Linked DNA regions of Sus scrofa. The protein of the gene in region 1 interacts with the protein of each later gene in a pairwise test. Links are inferred from orthologs where the notes say so. Each region holds a gene or a part of one and is shown in the gene's direction. Other genes may lie near its edges.

Region 1 (4,371 bases):
GGGAACTGTAATCGGCCTGAAATGGGAGGAGGGAAAGGAAGGGAGACTCCTGTATTCATCCGTCAACATTAATGTCCTTTGTTGTTCACCTTTGCACAGAACGGCGAGCGTTACCCTGTTCCTTCTCCTCCAAACACCAGTGTCAGGGTAGTCCTTCCCCAAAAGCCGTCTCCGTGCCTCTAAGACCCAAGCTTTCCGATTCCCTCTCCCCATTATCGCTCCACAGCTGTCCTCCATCACCACCCCCACCGGCTCACCCCGGGCAGAGAGGGTGATCAGAAGTAAAAACATTGCTGAAATACCGGTTCCCCTCCAAAGACCAAAGAGCAGAGCGACGCAGATGTTGAAATTTACCAATCCCCCCCGCCCGTCAACACACACACAGGGTAACCCGGGATGAGAGTCCCCGGCCGGACTCTGTCTGACCGTCTCTTTTGAGGACGGTGCCACATTCCGCACTCTGGGAATGCTGAAGGGAGGCAGAGGGAAGGTTCTGCGCCTCCCTTCTGTTTTGGGGCTGTTCACTTAGCGCGATTGTTGTTGTCTCCCTCTCCACCCGGGAAATCGTTACAGCCCTTGCCGCCTTGGGGAAAGGTAGCAGCTGGAGAGGAACGCGGTTCGCTCTCCTCTTGCAACTTGACACACACACGCCCCGTCGCCACTACAAACTCCGCAGGCAGAGCCTGCAGCGGGCGGGCTGGTCGCGCGCTCCCCCCAGCCGCTGCCCGGAGCGCCCATCAGACGCTGAGCGGCGAGACCCCAGAGCGCACCCCTCTGCCCGGAGCTGGCTGGGTAAAGCCCCGAACCCGCAGCGCGATGCCAGGATGAGGCATTTCCAGCCGGGAGAAGAGAGAGTCGCCAGGGCAAGGACGCGAAATACGCACCCGCTCCGGCCAGAGCGGAATAAAAAGTTCGCCCCGCGGAGACTCACCCACGCCGTATTTCTCGTGCTCTGTAGGTATCCACATGGCTAAAGAGGGGTTCGGGGTCTTCGGGCTTTGTAATCCCCTCACCCCTTCTCCAGCTCACAACAATGCACAGCTCCGGAGTAGCGTCTGCAGCGCTGGAGCCCGGCGGCTCCGCGCGGGCTGCGGGCGCTGGGCAGGGTCTGCACTGGAAGCTCGCGAGTCCGAGGTTGACACCGCGCGGCCGAGGCTGCGCCGCCCGCCGCTCTCCAGGCGGCGGCTGCTCACAGTCCTCCGACGCGCTCCCGGGAACCCAGCGGCGCAGTCATTGTTCTGATTCACTGAACTAAGCGAACACGCCGGGGCACTCTCGGGCGCACCCCCGCCCGCCAGCGCCTCTTCCAGCCCTCCCTGCCCAGAGCCTGCGCAGCACACTGGGAATTGTAGTTCTGGGTCTCTCCATCCCGGAAGGGGGCGTGGCACTAGCATGTAGGGCGGGGTTATGTTCTGATCGTCACGTCCTATTGGCCCAGAACGTGACGGCACGGCGTGGGAGTGGAGGAAACGCCGCGTCGATGGGGACTTCGTTTCTAGGCGCGTTTCCATTGGTTGCGCTCCTGCCCGTGACCCTCCCTTTTTTCTTCAGCCGCGTAATGGCTGCTCCCAAGACCCAGGGGGCTGCTCCCCAAAAGGAGGAAGACGGTGATGGCAGCAGCGGCGGAGCCGGAGTTTTCACTTATGAGGGTGAGTACAGTACCTCTGAGGTGCAAGTGGTTTATTTTCCTTTTTCTCCCACCTAGAGTGCAGCTGACTGCGGGGCGGACCCCAGCTCTAAGGCCACCTGGGGGCGCGAAGGGGCCACATGAGGGGCCCCGAGGGACATGGTGGGGTGGGCGGCGGCAACTTGAAGGGGTCTTTCTGAGAAGGAAGAGAAAATGGGATGGAATGGCTTTTCCGAAGCCAAGGAAGTTCTCTGAGCGTTTATCCTGCCTTTGGAGCTCGCACCTTTGCGCTCTCTGCCGAGTGAGTGGGCGTGGGTCAGGTCAGGTTCCGGCCTGTGTGCTGTTAACTCTGGGATTAGCAGCGTTTTCTTCGCCAGTACCCTACCCCCGCTTCGATTTGCTTGCTTTGGCCTCTGAAGATAAGTTTTATTTGGGTTCGGGCGGATTTCCAGTTGCAGACTGGTCGCTGCCTTGCACGCCCCAGATTTTCTCAGTGGCTGGCTCGTGCAGCCTCTGAAGGGAGAGTGTGTGGCTCTCAGAGCTTCTCCCGTTGCTCATTGACTGCCCTTGGCATTCTCCGGGATTGGTGGAGCTGGGTCCTTGGAGCAAGAGGAAAGAAGCGGCAATTGGCTCTCGTGGCTTGAGAGAAAATCTTCACAGCTTCTTTGGCTTTACCTAACTTTCAAGTTGTCCTTTTATCCGGTGCAGAGGGCAAAAAAATCAAACTTTGAAAGCTGCTGGGGGATTATCTTTAGAATTCCTAGCCCAATTCTTTTACCTTTAATCTATATATTTATCCCCCACCTGACTCCCTTCTTTTTTGATTTGATATGTAACTTAACACAGCTAGTTGTCTTTTTCTAATGGACATGGTTTGGAGCTTCATTTTAGTTCTCCATCCTTATTGCGGTTTTGTAAAATTTCTTTCTTTGCTTTTGCATTCGTGGTTAAATTGACATTTTTGTCTTAGCACACAGACTGTGCTATGTCTTCCCACTTCCCATCCTAGTGGAACCTCCTACCTCTGAAATTATTTCAGCACTTCTGCCAAAGAAATCTTTGGTAAGCTCCGTACTTAAATATTGAGTTATATCCACATCCTAAACAATTCATTCCAGGGTTGGCCATATAGTCAGATCTTATCTAACAGTAACATACTCTTAAGGTTTTCCAGCTTCTCAAAATTCCAGAGGGTTACGTGTTTGAACATTTGAAGGTGGAATCCTTTGTAAATTGATCTCATAGATTAACTCATAAAGAAGAAAATGGTGTGCCTTTCAAAAACATTGTAAAACTTTTAAATATCATTACTTGTTTTTAAATTATAAAACTTTTCATTATAAACTGTTCAAACTGTTCAGAAATGTGTATGGTAAAAAACTGCAACATTTCAAAGTTTCCCCATCACACACAGTCCCATTCCCAAAGTAACAACTTTTACAGGTTTGGTGTGTGTTCTAATATATGGCTGTGTGACACACATCTGTATAGTTTTGGGGGTTTTTTTTAAATAAAAAGGGCTCATTCCGTGTAAGCATAAAGATCTGTCACCTTCTTTCTCACAATGATCTGTTAGAGACATTCTTCTACATCAGTACATTTATTGATTCATTCTTTTCAAGGACTATGCCCGTAGTATTCCATAGTATGGACATACCCTACTTCAGCTTTTCCTCTGTTAATGAACGTATACTGTAGCTTTAGTTTTTCAGTAATGTAGCGAACAACTTCACATACATGCTTGTTCACCAGGTGTGTATTTCTTGAGGAATTGGGTCAAAGATGACACACATTTAAAATTGTGGTAGATATCAGATTTTCCTCTTAAAGAGTGTATATAAACATTCCTACCAGTAGTCATATGAATATTCTTTTCTCCATATACTTACCAAACTGTGATGACCAGCATTAATTCAGGATGAATTTTTAGATAACTATTAGATTGAATTGAGTAACTGATAGGAAGCGTAATTTTAGGTTCCAATTTTACAACGAAGATATTGAGCAGCAGAACTGCCTAGTAGTCTCACTGATTTGTAGCAGTCAATGGAAGTTTAATGGTTGATTTTTATGTTGTTTTTATATGTGTTAAGGTTGTCATTAAAAATTCTCTTCAGAGTTCCCGTTGTGGCGCAGCGGAAACGAATCTGACTAGTAACCATGAGGTTGCGGGTTCGATCCCTGGCCTTGCTCAGTGGGTTAGGGATCTGGCATTGCCATGAGCTGTGGTGTAGGTTGCAGACGTGGCTCGGACCCTGCGTTGCTGTGGCTCTGGTGTAGGCCGGCAGCATGGCTCTGATTCAGTGCCTAGCCTGGGAACCTCCATATGCCATATGCTGTGGGTGCAGCCCTAAAAAGCAAAAAAAAAAAAAAAAAAAAAAATCTCTTAATAACCTGTTTATTATCCTGTGACTTTACCAACATTCTTTTACAAGCCTGCAAAGTGTGATACAGGTTTTGGTGGAAATAATGTAGATTCATATTTTTCTGTTAAAGCAACTACTTCAGTTATCAAAAATGTCTTCCCCTATAAAATCACTGATTTCTTGAAAAATGCCTCTTTTAACAGGTTTCTCTCTAATTAAAATATCAATCTGTGTATTTATATTATGAAACAGAAGGGACTAGGGAGTCTTTTTATAGGAATCCTTGCAATTCTACAAATTTCTGCTAGAATGAGTCACTGGGTAGTATGCATGCAGGTTCAGCACCTTCCCTGAGGTCTGTGTGTCATACTTCCTGAG
Region 2 (4,373 bases), on another chromosome or scaffold:
TTCAATCACCCAACAATTTCGACAAATAGCCTTGAACAGATGATTTGGTTCAGGTTAACTACGGCCGTTAGGGTCTCCTGAACATCAGCAATGGAACACTGCCTTCTAGTCTTGAATGTACTATGTAATACCAGCTTAAAGCTTTTAGATAGAGCTTTTCTTAGGTAGATCTGCAAAATAAAGTCTAAATAATGGGTTAAAAATCTAATTGGATTGTTGATTTTTGACTCTGACTGGATTTCCTTGGACCTCAAGGAAAATGAATGTTTAGGGAAGGAGAACTAATTTGTGAGAGCTTTTCATGATGTCTTTCACCCAGGCTTGGGAAGAGCATCATGAAAAAAGAGTACCCTTTTGGAAACTACGCACACAACATATTTTTCCTAATAGGTGTGAAGAATGGCTGCTATGCATAAATGATTGTTGGAAAATAATTCTCTGTAAAACATGACTTAAGAAGCAACTCCATTCACCACTGTACTCATTTCCAATATCTAGAACAACTGTGACACATCACATAGATGCCGATATTATCTGTTTATGAGTTAATAAATACCTTTTAGAAAAAATCCACAATTTTCAGTGTCTAATTTTCATACCCAGGAAGCAGGAGAATAAAACTTTTGGAGGAAAATTTATATTAACGGCAAGTAAAACTCACACAAAATCCTAGGATTTGTCAATATGAAACCCTAAGTTTTAGTACCTTCCTAGACAACGAGCTTTTCTTTAATCAATGTTAAGGTGAGGTGACTGAGACTAAGTCGACCCTAATCAGAACCTGAAACATCACAATCAAAGTGCAGTTTTGTCATCAAAAAAACAAGGTATCTGGCGCATCTCCACTGTTAACCATCCCCTAGAGAACATCCTAAATCTTAAAGCCCAGCTCATTCCAAGACCCTCCTTACCTGGAGCAGTCTCACTGGGCTGCCGGGCACAGCTCAGTGGAAGCGAAGGTCATTCGCAGGTGGTGGCTCCAGAGACTCAGGAACTCAGGCTCCAGCGCGCATCTCCTGGATTGGAGATTCCAGCCCCTGGGCGAGGTGCGGACGGCGCGCACCTCTCCAGCCCAGGAAGGTCCGAGAAAGGCGCGGCGCAGCCCTCCCAGGGTCTGGGGGGCTGGCCGTCCTAGTGAAGAGCAAAGTACATTAGTCCGGAGCGCTCCCTCTCCTGCCCTTCTCCCGATTTCCTGACACTCTAATTCTGCCTTAAGTGATCATTTACACCTAGCCCCAGCTAGTATATAGGCTAAAAGGCAAGGGCTTCATCCCCATGCTTGATTCCCACCTCCCCAAAGTCCAAGAGGCTCACCTTCCCGGCGCCTTCCTTCCCAGCTGTGAGCTCTGCGCAAACTTCTCCCGACTTAAGTCTTCTCCTGCCCGCTCCCCCGCCCCTCCCTGCCCGCTCTCCCTCCTCCCGGGCAGCAGAGGAGGTGGCAGCGGAATTGATGAGCGCCAGCCCCCCCGCCCCCGAACTCTCCCGCCCCCGTCAGCCCGCTCCTGTCCCTGGAGAGGGAGGGGGAGCAGGAGAGCTCTGAGCGCCTACGCGCCAGCCCCTCTCGCCCTGGCCCGCGAGTGGGGCTGCACCCGCACGGCTGCCTAGCTCGAGTCCCCGCGGGGGCTCACCCCACGAGACCCCAAGAGTAAAAAGCGGCGTAAACACGAGAAGCAGGAGAGGGACCCGAGTTAGACCTTGGGGAGGGGGTGACAGTCTGGGCTGGGGGATTCATAGTGTACAGGGAGATAGCTTTCTAGGAGCCTTGTCCCCCTCCCCAGAGGACGCAAATTCCGGAGGGAGGTGAGTTTCCAAAAGAACCCACCCCTAGAGACCGTGCCACCCCGGCTCCTTCAGCCGCTGCTTGGGGGACAGCACCACCTGGGAGCCTGTGGAGAGGGTCTCCAGTGGGCGAGGTGGTGAAAGTGAGATGGAGATGGGTGGGAAAACGTTTGTCTAGGAACTGGGGTGCCGAGAGAAAGCAAGGGAAGGAGCTGGGAGGCAGGAGGTAAGAAGAGGGGCTGGGGGGTCCGCAAAGTGTTGCCAGAGCGTTCAGAGTTGGGCAGCTGTCTGGGGCTGGAGGCGCAGACTGGATTGAGGGGAACAGCTCCCTTCATGTAGGGGCTGCTGGTGGGCACAGTAGCCTACGACGGGGAGTGAGCACAGTGAGGAGGTGAGGAAGACGGGGGTCTCGAGTGCCTCTCCCCCACTAAAGCCATTGATGCCAGGAGGAGCCCGGGACAATCTGATTCCGGGCAGGGCGCTACTCCTGCCGGCTGGAGCGCTCTGGAAGGCGGGCAAGTTGGTTCCAAGGACGCACAGCCCTCAACATCCTTTAGCCCACCGCTGGATAGAGCAAGGCAGCAGCGGACACTTTTTTTCCTAACTCTGTTCAAGGGACTTTGGGCTAAGAGAGCAACATCTCGCCGTGTCCCGAGACTGAGACTGCAAGGTGGTCGTGGACCGTCCAGGTTACCAACACTGTTTACTCAGCAAAAGAAATAAAGGCAACAGCAACCAAATAGGACGGGAAGAAAGCCAGACAACAACACAGAACACTTTCCGGGGCAGTCCGAGTTTCTCCTAAGCACTCAGACGACAGAGGTGCCCTGTGAATGGGACGGCAACCTACACCCATCCGTTCTGTGATCCCTGCCCTGGAGAGATTGCACTAGGCAAAAGGTGCGTGTGTTTCTGTCCTATTTTGAACTCCCATTTCTCACCCTAAGGGGACTTTAGGGACACCTAAATCATGTGATTGGGGGCTTTCATGGGACAGGGTCCGGGGACAGATTGGTTCTCCAACCAGACCTTATTAGGGGTTTTGTTTTTCAGGCTCTTTCTCCCCTCCTCGCTCCCCCCCCTTCCCTGCCACCTCCAGTCTGGTGACCCAGAGGGCTGTGTGTGAGTCACCATGCATTCAAACCCTACAGCACCGCCCCACTGCAAGAGAATATTCTACAGTCCCTTGATTCTGGGGATCTAAGTAGGAATGATGTATTTAGCTGTAAAAAAAAAAATGTGACTAGGAAAGGTAGCAGGGCAATTGGGAGAGGAATTTTGCAAATTAACACACATACACAGTAATGCAAACAAAACCTGTACAAGAACTCTTCTGAGTTCAAGACATAAATATGAATATTCACTCTGTGCTTTGACATTGTCCTGGGTTCAGTAGTTCCCTTCTTTCCAGCAGCTGCTGATCGGCCAACACCTGATCATGCCCTCCCATAAGAACTCTCTTACATAACATTCATTACCCTCTTTTGGTGTAAACAAGCAGAGAATTATTAAAGTTGTTTGAATATCTCTTATGGTCAACTTCCGGGGGCCAAGCATTGAGAATTTCCCTGTTGTAGCCAAATCATGGCAATAACATTGAATCAGGGAGGGTCTTTTGCCGAGTGGAGGGTATTGTTGTTCTCTGCATTCTGTTGATCGAGGAAGCACAGGGAGATCTTTCTGTTGAAGGTTAATCCTAGGGCATCCTACATCGCTTATTGACAGCTGGCATTCTGAGAGGAGGATGGGGCTTGGGTCCATGAAGCTACTGAAGGTGTATGGGACCACAACCCTTAACCATAACTTAGACAAAGCAAAAGTCTAAACATTAGTGAGAAAGATGGCATGGGGGTATTATAAACCTTAAACTGTGTGTTGTATAAGTGTAAAAGAAAGATCCAGACAAATTAAGGTGTTATTTCTGTTAGAGACAATATTGGAGAAAGAAAAAAAAAGCGGGGGGGGGAGGGTTCCCTGCAGGCAGAAGATTTCAGGGAAGACGACATGGGAGAAGTGGAATCAAAGATCAGGCTCTGGGGTCTCTCAAGAGGATAAAATTGACTCTGTCAGCCACGGATGTTTTTTGAACACCAAAAGGGGTTACACCTGTTAGAAACACTTGGAATGTACAGAAATTTAACTCTACTGCTGTCTTAACACTATCAAAATATTTTCCACGTAGATACAGTGTTGTAGATCCTTAGAGAGTGGGTATTACCTGGGGATGATCTATTAAGAGGACTTGACAGTGTTTTTGGAAATGCCGTGAGGCCACTTCTGGGTTCTGAAACCAATTTAGAGGGCACAAGCTACATTTAAAAAAATAAGGTGAAACAGATAGAAAATATAGAGTTCATCTCCTGTGACAAGGGTGAGCATGGTTTCCTGAAACTTGTGTCTCTTCTTTATACTTATGTATGTACTGAGATACAAAGTAAAATATATTTCTTTCTGGGACTCAACAAACAAAAGTTTCTTAAGGTACTTGTTTGTAATAAGCCACACTTCGAATAAGAATACCTTATATCTGCAAGTAAGCCTGAAAATGAAATTAGTTCACATCAAAGGGGCATTCAGGAAATAAGCATCTTAAA

The links.
Region 2: the proteins of ZNF277 (region 1) and GNGT1 interact in a two-hybrid assay, tested with the Homo sapiens proteins (3 studies listed by BioGRID and IntAct). The two-hybrid records come from large-scale screens. The link is inferred for Sus scrofa from reciprocal best matches to the Homo sapiens genes ZNF277 and GNGT1.

The regions. Positions count from the first base shown.
Region 1 is NC_010460.4:33,420,164-33,424,534, reverse strand, and holds the start of ZNF277 (zinc finger protein 277), read left to right. Parts: upstream 1-1,428; 5' UTR 1,429-1,480; coding exon 1,481-1,649; intron 1,650-4,371. Other genes in the region: DOCK4 (dedicator of cytokinesis protein 4), read right to left, coding at 932-968. UniProt on the Homo sapiens protein: Probable transcription factor. Involved in modulation of cellular senescence; represses transcription of the tumor suppressor gene INK4A/ARF, perhaps acting via the Polycomb group (PcG) complex PRC1.
Region 2 is NC_010451.4:73,402,094-73,406,466, forward strand, and holds the start of GNGT1 (guanine nucleotide-binding protein G(T) subunit gamma-T1), read left to right. Parts: upstream 1-1,553; 5' UTR 1,554-2,679; intron 2,680-4,373. UniProt on the Homo sapiens protein: Guanine nucleotide-binding proteins (G proteins) are involved as a modulator or transducer in various transmembrane signaling systems.